3 linked regions of the Callithrix jacchus genome follow. The protein of the gene in region 3 interacts with the protein of the main gene of each other region in a pairwise test. Links are inferred from orthologs where the notes say so. Each region holds a gene or a part of one and is shown on either strand. Other genes may lie near its edges. The genes, in order: AGR2, OGT and NUP62CL.

What was found.
Region 1: the proteins of NUP62CL (region 3) and AGR2 interact in binary tests that used the Homo sapiens proteins (3 or more experiments, as listed by UniProt). The two-hybrid records come from large-scale screens. The link is inferred for Callithrix jacchus from reciprocal best matches to the Homo sapiens genes NUP62CL and AGR2.
Region 2: the proteins of NUP62CL (region 3) and OGT interact in binary tests that used the Homo sapiens proteins (3 or more experiments, as listed by UniProt). The two-hybrid records come from large-scale screens. The link is inferred for Callithrix jacchus from reciprocal best matches to the Homo sapiens genes NUP62CL and OGT.

What each region holds. Positions count from the first base shown.
Region 1 is NC_133512.1:41,650,174-41,654,375, forward strand, and holds the start of AGR2 (anterior gradient protein 2 homolog), read left to right. Parts: upstream 1-1,354; 5' UTR 1,355-1,401; exon of another isoform or gene 1,402-1,419; intron 1,420-4,202. UniProt on the Homo sapiens protein: Required for MUC2 post-transcriptional synthesis and secretion. May play a role in the production of mucus by intestinal cells. Proto-oncogene that may play a role in cell migration, cell differentiation and cell growth. Promotes cell adhesion.
Region 2 is NC_133524.1:68,853,485-68,857,138, forward strand, and holds part of OGT (UDP-N-acetylglucosamine--peptide N-acetylglucosaminyltransferase 110 kDa subunit), read left to right. Parts: intron 1-23; coding exon 24-194; intron 195-2,027; coding exon 2,028-2,180; intron 2,181-3,654. UniProt on the Homo sapiens protein: Catalyzes the transfer of a single N-acetylglucosamine from UDP-GlcNAc to a serine or threonine residue in cytoplasmic and nuclear proteins resulting in their modification with a beta-linked N-acetylglucosamine (O-GlcNAc).
Region 3 is NC_133524.1:103,715,083-103,718,736, forward strand, and holds part of NUP62CL (nucleoporin-62 C-terminal-like protein), read right to left. Parts: intron 2,855-3,654; coding exon 2,722-2,854; intron 1-2,721.

The sequences.
Region 1 (4,202 bases), on a different chromosome or scaffold from region 3:
ACATACTTTCAAATGTTTTTGAAATATTATGATCTTTACTCATTTTATTTTACTTTATTTTATTTATTTATTTGTTTGTTTGTTTTTTGGGACTGAGTTTTGCTCTTGTCACCCGGGCTGAAGTGCAATGGCACACTCTCGGCTGGCCGCAACTGCCACCTCCCACGTTCAAGCGATTCTCCTGCCTCAGCATCCCGAGTAGCTGGGACTACAGGTGCATACCATCATGCCCGGCTAATTTTTGTATTTTCAGTTGAGAATGGGTTTGACCATGTTGGCCAGGATGGTCTCGATCTCCTGACCTTGTGATCCACCCACCTCATCAGCCTCCCAAAGTACTGGGATTACAGGCATGAGCCACTGAGCCTGGCCAACCTTAACTCATTTTTAAAAGTCATTTATATAGGGCTTGCAGCCCAGTTAACTTTCTGTTGTTAAAATATTTTCCATTCTGCGCTTTTAAAGACTGCTCACAACTTCACAAACAAGATACAGGATTAAAAATTTTCAGAGAGAAAATTGAAATCCCAGTTTTAAAATCTTCACGGAGTAATTAAATAAATCTTGAATGGAAAAAAAAATAGTTACAGACCTTAGGTTTTAGGTCTGAAAAAATGGAGGAAATGGCTTCCTGATTGCCTTTCAGGAACATTTGTCTTCAAGTAAGATTATCTGTGAAATACCTTTGAACTCTTTGGAGGGAAGTTGCTGCACACATTCTGTGGCAAGGCAATTACTACAGGCTGGCAGTATCAGGCTGGTTTTTTTTTCCCAACACTTCCTCAGTTTTGAATTATTATGTGGGTTACTTGATTTGTTTTGTTTTGTTTTGTTTTTCATACATGTAGTAGTTCGGGTGCATTTTTTTGACAGGAGTGGGGAAGTATTATCGAAAATAATTTTTATCATAATGGAGTATGGCAGGTTATATGACTGTGAGGATCAGAATTGTGAATCATCTCTTGTGTGTTTTCAAGTAAATAAAGGCAATCTATACAGGGCGGAGAAAAAAAAAAAAAAAACTACTAACTACAAACTCCATCCAATCACATAAAGACAAATCAGCCTTCAGGCAAATCAAATGTCTTCATTCAAAGTCTACCTGGATTTGGCACTCTGCCCATCGTTTCAAAACCTCTTAACAATGTACTTCACAAACAGTTAAAAACATGCATACTGAAAAGCATGCTTTTGAAACGTTATTTTTAAAAACAAGGAACTCTTTAACCCAGGAAAGACAATCATGTGGGAAAAGAAAGGATCGTTTCTGAGTTAGCAACAAGTAAATACAGCACTAGTGGGTGGGATTGAGGTGTGCCCTGGTGCATAAATAGAGGCTCAGCTGTGCTGGCACACTCAGAAGCTTGGACCGAATCCTAGCTGCCGGCTCACACGAGGCAGGTGGGTGAGGAAATCCAGGTAAGGCTCCTGATAGCAGCTTTAGAAGGGCACCTGCTGGAGTGACTTTTGGCCTCTGATTACTGTATAAAGTTGTAGGCAATCAAGCAACAGAGAAGTGCAAGTTTCCAAGGGCAATGAAGTAGGATTTGGAGAGGGAATCATGGAATTTCTACCAAAGGCTCACTGGGGCCTTTCTTTGGCTAGAGCTGGCACAGTGTGACGTTCCCAAGTTCATTCAAAGGAATGCTTTCTTCCTTCGGAAACAAAATTTCCAAGAGTGGGTGAATCCTAGGATTTTTCAAGCCTGGGACAGGGTCCAGGGATTTTCGTCTCAGTCATCATCTAAAGCTCTGCTTCTTTCCCACGGGCTAAAGCAAAGCCCTGTAGGCCTCTCCACTGTGACACCTCAGCTCGGATTGCCTACTTGTAATATATTACTGCAAATCAAAAAACAGTTTTCTTTCTCTCTTTGGTGCAGATATCCTTGTTGTGTCTGCAATTTTTAAATTCATGGGATAGGCTATTAGAGGAGAGGAGAGATCTGGTTGCTTTCCTGAAGCATTTACAAACAAGGACACTGAAATTTCTTGCACGGTCATTCTTTGCAAAAGGCAAGACAGAGACAGGATGACAAGTGGAAAGTGCTGGCTTCACATTTGTGTGTGTGTGTGTGTGTGTGTGTGTCTGTGTGTGTGTGTCTGTGTGTCTCCAAATTATCAATATCTTTCATGGTTGGAATTGTTTTGAGGTGGTTTATGCAGGAAGTTTGCAGAGCAGAATCTATTCATATAAAAACTCCGTAGAGTGAATCTCAGAACGTCACCCCAGAGCAGGATGTTTGTGTAGCAGGAGTTATATTAGCCTTCCTTGAGCCATCCTGCCATAAAACACAAGCAATATATCAATAGTTCCAACCTGTAATCTTTGGAGATATTACAAGGGGTCCGAGTAGCTACTTGTACAACAAGAACTGTAAATGGGCTAAGTAAATAAAAATGTTGTACCATCAATTTACTATTTTTTAGAATATTCATAGATGCTGTTATGCATAAAAGTAAAAGTCAAATGTTTGTTTATAGATTCAAAAAGTATAATTATTCTCGTGTAAAAGTTCTTGATTTTTTAACATTAAAAAGAAGTTTTTATACAAAGAGGGCTGAGAATTATTGATGTACAGTGTACATTTGAGTTGTTTTTGCAAAACTCTAGAAGACAAAAGTTGTATTGGCATTTCCACATCTTTATGGGTATAGAAAATGAACAAAGTATATCCCTGATTTTTGCTCAAATCTTTCTAAGACATTTTGTATTTATGTTCTATGAATTTGTTAATAATTGGTCAGTTAAATACAAAGTGTCATTTCGATCTGGTAACTTTGCAACACCTTTAAAAAAAATCAGCTCATGCTTAGCAAAGGTTTCCACTAAAGATAGGAGATTATGAAAAACTTCTCTCTTAAAATTACTAATTCCTTTGCAGAGTTTGAGTTCATTCAAAACCTACAGCAATACTAGAATCAGGTCCTGTGGTTTCACATTTCCCTTTTAGCCCTTGCAGTATTTGCCTTTACCAGAATCCCAAGTCTCCAGCCTTCCATGTTACAGCCCCTTGGATGATCTTAGTGACTTGCTAGAGCAACTCACTTTGCTCCCTCCCTTCCTCCCTTCCTTTTCACTCACAAAACTTATCTTGTCATTTACTTTCCTGTTAAAAGGCTTTAGCTTTTCCTGGGAATCAACTATGGAATAGCATTAAAAAAAGTAATTTAACTAAGATATTGGCTGGTCGTGGTGGCTCATGCCCGTAATCCCAGCACTTTGGGAGGCTGAGACAGGCAGATCGCTTGAGGTCAGGAGTTTAAGACCAGCCTGGCCAACATGGTGAAACACTCTGCTACAAAATTAGATAGGCATGGTGACACATGCCTGCAGTCCCAGCCACTTGAAAGGCTGAGGCATGAGAATCACCTGAAGGCTGTGTTGAGCTGTGATTGTGTCACTGCACTCCAGCCTGGGTGACAGAGCAAGACTATTTAAAGAAGAGAGAGAGAGAGAGAGAGAGAGACGCTTGGGGCTTATTTCTCTGTTATAAATTGCACCAAATACTTCCGTGCACTAACTTGTATGCCCACCATCACCTACCTATACAGGCCCATAAGGAGGGTCAAAGAGTTGTTTCGATGGAAAGAACATTACATTGGTGTGTCTTAGTTAACCCAGAGCTAATACAGAGTTTGAGTAAATGTTATGCTAGGGAGAGAGTTGTATAGGTAGCCTTCAGATAAGTGACACAGTTGGCACGTTCTAAATGAAGAACCATTTTATTCATATCTTCTTCTTCAATGGCAATGTCCCCATTTAACTGAAGGTTTGAGAAGTGTGTACATTTAGGATAATTGTTTCAGGGAGGGGAGATAGGAGCTAGCACTGCAAGATAACAAGATCCAGAAGGCTTTGTTCTGAAGCCATCTCACAAATCTTTCTCTCTTTGAACTTCAGATTCTTCATCCATACAGTGAAGCACTGGGGAGGTGAGAAAAGAGGGGGTAACCCCTAACCTGCCTTCTAGTACTTTATTTTTTAAATATAAAGTTAAAATGTGAGGCTGGGCAGAGTGACTCATGCCTGTAATTCCAGCACTTTGGGAGGCCAAGGCAGGCAAGTGGCTTGAGCCTAGAAGTTTGAGACCAGCCTGGGAAACGTGACAATACTCCATCTCTACTAAAACACACACACACACACAAATAGCCAAGTATGGTGGCATTTACCTGTAGTCCCAGCTATTTGGAAGGCTGAGGAAG
Region 2 (3,654 bases), about 35 Mb from region 3:
TTTTGTGTGTGTGTTTCTTTTAGATGAAGTGTCCTGATGGAGGAGACAATGCAGACAGCAGTAACACAGCTCTTAATATGCCTGTTATTCCTATGAATACTATTGCAGAAGCAGTTATTGAAATGATTAACAGAGGACAGATTCAAATAACAATTAATGGATTCAGTATTAGCAATGGACTGGCAACTACTCAGGTGAGAAGATAATACACGATTATATGTCCCACCAACTTTGCATTTATTTCCTTTAAACCTCATGATAACTGTAGGAGGATACACATAGAAAGAAACGACCAGTATTAGCCTTTCTAAAAATATACCAAAAAGTAAAGAGCATCAACATAAAGAAGAATTTACATCAATGAATGGATAAAACAGCCAGTTAACATCAAATGGCAGTGATCCTAAATTTAAATTGACTAAATCCCCCAATCAAAAGATACAGCCAAAACCCAACGGTATGCTACATCCAGACCCATTTCACATGCAAGGATACACAAAGACTCAAAGGGATGGAGAAAGATTTACCAACCAAATGGAGAGCAAAAATAAATAAATAAATAAAAAGCAGGAGTTGAAATTCTCGCATCTGATAAAATAGATTTTAAAGCAACAAAGATATAGTGGTAAAAGGATAAATGCAACAATAAGAGCTAACAATCCTAACACCCAGTTACATAGAGACTTAGACTCCATGAGACAGAAAATTAATAAGGATATCCAGGACTCTAACTCAGATCCGGAACAAGTAAACTTAATAAATATTTATAGAGCTCTCCACTTTAAATACACAAAATATACATTCTTGTCAATACCACATCACACCTACTCATAGGTTTAAATGAAATATTGATTGGCCATTATTAATACCCATTTTTTAGAATAAAGCAACATTTCCGTTCTCCCTCTTTTTCTTCCTTTCTTCCTCTCCTTCATTCCTTTTTTCTCTTTCCTTCTCTTAAAAAAAAAAAAAAAAGGATAACTGTAGGAGGCAAGTATCATTATCACCATTTTATAGATGAGGAAATGAGTTTAGTGTAAACAGGCATCTTATGTAGGTTTGTCTGATTTTAAAAGTCTCCCGGGTTCAGCCAGCAGATTATTACTTACTGAGAATCTGCTGTGTTAATACCATGTTGTTATTCCCTGCCTGTGGCTTTACTCTCTTATCATATGATGAACTATCTGTAGATACTGTACAGTTTCTTGCTTTTGTAAACTCATTCTTTCCCTAGCTAAATCCTACTCAGACATTCAGTTCAGACAGCTCTTCCAGGAATCCATTTCCGTACTTACCACTAATGTCTCCACCCCTACTTCATTGGTACCTGTCTTCTATGCCTCTGCTATGTTTGGAATATATCATTACATACAGCACAACAGATGATAATTCCCTGTGTTTGTATCCTCTACTGAATTGAATTACTGGGCCCATCTCTTAAAAACAGTAATGTAGTATGTACTCAATAAATAATATATTGCATGCTTAAATAAGTAGCTCTATCAAGAGTGTATAAGGCAAAGAAAGATCTCTGGCCTCTAGAGGTCATAGATGTCTTTGCATACCTGGAATAGTTATGTAGCAATGTAAGGCAGTACTCAGATGTGTGAGAATTACAAGATAAGACTAATTATGTAGGTAGAAGCCCAGAAATGGCGATGATCGATGTGAAGAGAGACACTCTTGGAAGAAGAGTAATTTCTTTTTGGAGGAGTAATTTATTTAGCCTTGAAGAGTAGATGTGATTTAGAAAAGGACATTTCATTCATAAAGAAAAGAGTGATCAAAACTGTTGGATTGTTAATAGGCTCTTGAGACCTTTTTTTGGTTAAAGCAAGAAGTTTCATAGTGCAGTCTCCCCCAAATTAAGATCATGCTGCAACTGTTTGCCTTTTCTTAAATTTCATGTATCATGAATATTTTCTCATGATTCAGGGACTTAATGGTTATACCATTTTGGATCTTATGGATTGAATATTGGACTCCTTTTGCCTTTAAATGTAACCATCATCCTTTCCTTGTTCTAGATCAACAATAAGGCTGCAACTGGAGAGGAGGTTCCCCGTACCATTATCGTAACCACCCGTTCTCAGTACGGGTTACCAGAAGATGCCATTGTATACTGTAACTTTAATCAGTTGTATAAAATTGACCCTTCTACTTTGCAGATGTGGGCAAATGTGAGTATGCATAGACTCATTGTTACTGTCTCAGAGACTAAGAAATAAGGATTTTGTATACAGAGCTGCTTGTTGAAGATGGTCCTTCCACTCCCATTTAGGAGCTGTTCTGCTCATTTATTTTTAAAACTTTTTTTTGGCCAGGTGCAGTGGCTCATGCCTGTAATCTGAGCACTTTGGGAGGCCAAGGCAGGCGGATCACTTGAGGTCAGGAGTTTGAGACCAGCCTTACCAACATTGTGAAATCCTGTCTCTATTAAAAATACCAAAAAATTAGCTAGGTGTGGTGGTAGGCACCTGTAATCTCAGATACTCAGGAGGCCGAGGCAGGAGAAGAATCCCTTGAACCCAGCAGGTGGAGGTTGCAGTGAGCCAAGATCACACCATTGTACTCCAGCCTGGGCAACAAGAGGGAAACTCTGTCTCAAATAAATGGATAGAACCTTTTTTTAAAAAATCATTTTATTTATTTACATGTGACTCAACTGGGTTGTGCTCTTTTTTTAAAAAAAAAAAAACAGAATCTCACTCTGTTGTTCAGGTTGGAGTGTAGTGGTGTGATCTTGGCTCATGGCAACCTTTGCATCCCAGATTCAAGTGATTCTTGTGCCTCAGCATGTGCCACCATGCCTGGGTACTTTTTTGTGTGTTTTTAGTAGAGACAGGGTTTCACCATGTTGGCCAGGCTGGTCTTGAACTCCCAGCCTGAGGAAATCTGCCTGCCTCGGCCTTGTAAAGTGCTAGGATTACATGTGTGAGCCACCAAGCCTGGCCTTGTGCTCATTTATAATCTTCAAGAGTTATAGATTTTTCAGGCATTTTGGTTCCAAAGTCTCAACATGTCATTGTGAACCTTTTAAATGTACATATTCAAAGTGTTCTTCTGTCTAAAGGGTCAGCAAACTTTTTCTTAAAGGGCCAGATGGTAAATATTTTCAGTTTTGTGGCCCATACTGTCTCACATCTACTCAGCTTTGCCATTGTAGCATGAAAATACCATAGGCATTTTGTAAATGATGAGTGTGGCTGTGTTCTAATAACATTGTATTTGTGTGAAATGTCAGTATGCCATATTTGGCTCACAGGCTGTGTAGTTCGCCAACCCCTGGTCTAAACTGATAGCATATACTGTCATGTACATCCACCCATGTTTAACATTCTTGTAGTATTGTAGAGTTCTAACCAAGAAGGAGTCGATCTATACATACGATTATCTCTTAGTTCATCAGACAAGTTTGCATAAGTGGGATATTAGATAGCTGTCACTGGCTCTTAACCCATAGAACTAAAATAAAATAGCATGTTTTACCTTTAGGTAATCTGGAAATAATTTCTTGGTTAATTTTTTTCCCTGGTATCCGTTTTACGTTCAGAGGAGAGGGGAGGATAGAAGAGAAGAGGAAGCAGATGAGTATAGGTCTACTGTCCTTAATCCTTACTTCCCGAGGTTCACAAAATCTCTGAAAATCAAAAG
Region 3 (3,654 bases):
CCTATATCTGGCATTTCTCCCCATGCTATCTCTCCCCAACTCCCCACCCCCCACTGTCCCTCCCCTATTTCCCCCCAACAGACCCCAGTGTATAGTGCTCCCCTCCCTGTGTCCATGTGTTCTCATCATTCATCACCCGCCTATGAGTGAGAACATGCAGTGTTTGATTTTCTATTCTTGTGTCAGTTTGCTGAGACTGATGGTTTCCAGGTTCATCCACTTCCCTACAAAGACACAAACTCATCGTTTTTGATGGCTACATAATATTCCATGGTGTATATGGGCCACATTTTCCCTGTCCAGTCTATCATCGATGGGCGTTTGGGTTGGTTCCAGGTCTTTGCTATTGTAAACAGTGCTGCAATGAACATTCGTGTGCATGTGTCCTTAAAGTAGAATGATTTATAGTCCTTTGGATATATACCCAGTAATGGGATTGCTGGGTCAAATGGAATTTCTATTTCTAGGTCCTTGAGGAATTGCCACACTGTCTTCCACAATGGTTGAACTAATTTACACTCCCACCAACAGTATAAAAGTGTTCCTATTTCTCCATATCCAGATCATTTTTATAGAGCCAATATTACCCTGATACCAAAGCTAGAGGCATAAAAAAAGAAGAAAACTACAGACTATTAGTTCTCATGAACTTAGATACGGAAGTCCTTATAGCACCAGGAAACCAAATTTTTAAAAATGTATCAAAAATTATACACCATGATCAAGTGGGATTTATTTCTCATATGCAGGGCTGGTTAAACATCTAAAAATCAATCAGTGTAATCCACCACTTCACCAAGATAAAGAAAAAAATCTTAAAAGACTTTATCAATTGAGGCTGAAAAAGCATTTGACACAAATTGATTTTTGACAAAGGTGTGAAAGCAATTCAGGGGGAAGATAGCCTTTCAATAAATGATGTTGGAAAAACTTGACATCCACAGACAAAAATAAATTAATCTTGACCTAAACCTCACACCTTATATAAAAATTGACTCAAAATGGATCACAAGCTTAAATGTAAAATGTGAAACTATAAAACTTTAGAAAAAAATAGAAGAAAATCTTTGGGATCTAGGGCTAATACAGGATTTATTATAATTGACACTAAAAGCACAATTCATTAAATGAAAATGTAATAAATTATAACTCACCAATTAAAAGTTTTTATTCAGCAAAAGGACCCTGTTAAGAGGATAAAAAGCCAAGTTACACAGTTAAAGAATATACTTAAAAGCCACATATCTGACAAAAGACTGGTATCTAGAGTATATAACAAACTCTCCAGACTAAACAGTAAAAAATCAAATAATCCAAGTAGAAAATGGACAAAAGATATGAATAGACATTTCACCAAAGAGGATCCACTGATGGCAAATAAACATGTGAAAAGATATTCAACATCATTAGTCATCAGGGAAATGCAAATTAAAACCACAATGAGATATCACTTCACATCTGTCAGAAGGGCTAAAATATAAAGTAGTGACAACACCAAATCCTGGCAAGAATGTAGACAATCTGAATCACCCATACGTTGCTAGTGGGCGTGTAAAATGGCACAGTACTCTGGTAAAGAACTTGACAGTTTCTTAAAAAAGCAAAACAAAACCAAAAAACAACATGTAACTACCACATCACCCAACAACTGTACTCCTAGGCATTTATCCCAGAGGAATGAGACTTATATTCCTAAAAAACCTGTACACTAATGTTCACGTCACTTTTTTCATAATAGCCAAAAAACTGGAAACAACCTATATGTCCATCAACAGGTGAATGGATAAATAAACCATTGTGCATCCACAATGCCAGGGAATACTACTCAGAAATAAAAAAGAACAAACTATTGATGCACGTGACAACTTGGGTGGATCAGAAGGAATTATGCTGAATTAAGAAATCCAATCCCCAAAGGTCACATATGTATAACTCTATCTGTACAACACTCTTAAAATGTCAAGATTATAGAAATAGAAAACAGATTAATTGTTGCTCAGAGTCAAGGAAAGGAAGAGAGTGGGGGTGGCTACACAAGGGCAACAGGAGGAATCCTTGTAGTGATAGAACTGTTCTGTATTTGACTGTAGCAATATTAATATCTTGGTTGTGATATTATACTATAGTACTGTTAAGATGTTATCATTGGATGAAATGATATAAAGACCATATAGAATATTGTGTATTATTTCTTACATATACATGTGACTCTACAATTATCTCAAAATAAAATGTTTAATTTAAAAAATGAACAAATACTAGAGAGAAGCATGGTATACAGGCTCCAGAACTTGACTGTCTGAATTTTAATCCTGACTCAACCATTAACAAGTATGCAACTATGAGTATATTACAAAATCTCTAAATGCTCTTCTTTTCTCATCTATAAAATGGGAACGAAAATAGTGCCTACCTCATAGGGTTACTGTGAGGATAAATGACATGATGCTTGTAATGCACTGTCATCTTGCTAAACATAAGTAATTACATAATAAGTGGTAGCTATTATTAGTAATAGTAATGATTATATTATAACAATATTCAGAAGGCAAGGCATGCTGTTGGTTGTTCAAATTCCTAAACTACAGAAATCTTTCTCTAACTGTTCCCTCAACTTGGTCATGTAGCTAACTTTCAAATATTCTAAAGCTATCCAAGCAAATGTCTTGTACATGATAAATAAAATAAAACACATGCAAATTTTCAAATAAATAGGCTTACCTAACAGTTGAAATATAAGGTACACGGTTTTCAAACCCTCCTGATGACAGTTGTTGGTTCACAGTAAAGCCACTGGTGACTGTGGTAATAGTGGTGGTGGTGACTGTGGTGGTGGCAGTCGTTGAAGTTGTAACTGGAAAATAAACTGTATAATGTTAGTAAGAAATGAGAAATTTGTTTTATTTAAGCCTTGATCATTCAGATTTAAAATTATGGAGGCATTTTTAAACATACAAATTGGAACTCAAAGTTGTGGATTTGAACTCAACACTGTTGTAATATGAAATAATATATGGCAGGCCAGGTACCTAAATTAACTTTCCAGTTGAAAACTAAAACTCATGGATAAATTCATAGAAAAATAAAACTTCTAAGTCGCCCAATAACTGGGTAAATCAATCCTCAAAATTCTTCTAATAAAGAAAATTCTAGTCCCAGATGCCATTGTTGGTAAGTTTTACTAAACTTTCAAGAAAAGAATAATTGCAATTTATAAAAGATCTCTGTACATCTATATCTTTGCATACTTACATGACTGTACCTGTGTAATTAATTCCTAGAAATAAAATTTATAGATCAAAGTGTCAGCATGCTCTAAATTTTAACATAACTTGCCAAATTGCCCTATCTAAATAATTTTGCCAATTTATGTCCCTATCAATAGAAAAGAGTGCCTATTTCTCTATATCACAGCCAATACTAGGCATACATTTTTGCAAACCCTAGGAAAAAGCTTCTCAAACTTTTATCTACAGCCAAGACCTCTCTCCTATGTCTTTTTCGGTTACACCTCTATTAGAATGTCCTGCTCTCCATAGATAAAATCCTAAGCATACTTCATGGCTTGACTCAAATTCTTTGTTCCCCATATTTATCACCCACTTCTCTCCTACTTATAATTTTCTTTTGGTTTTCTGAACTTTTGTAGTACTT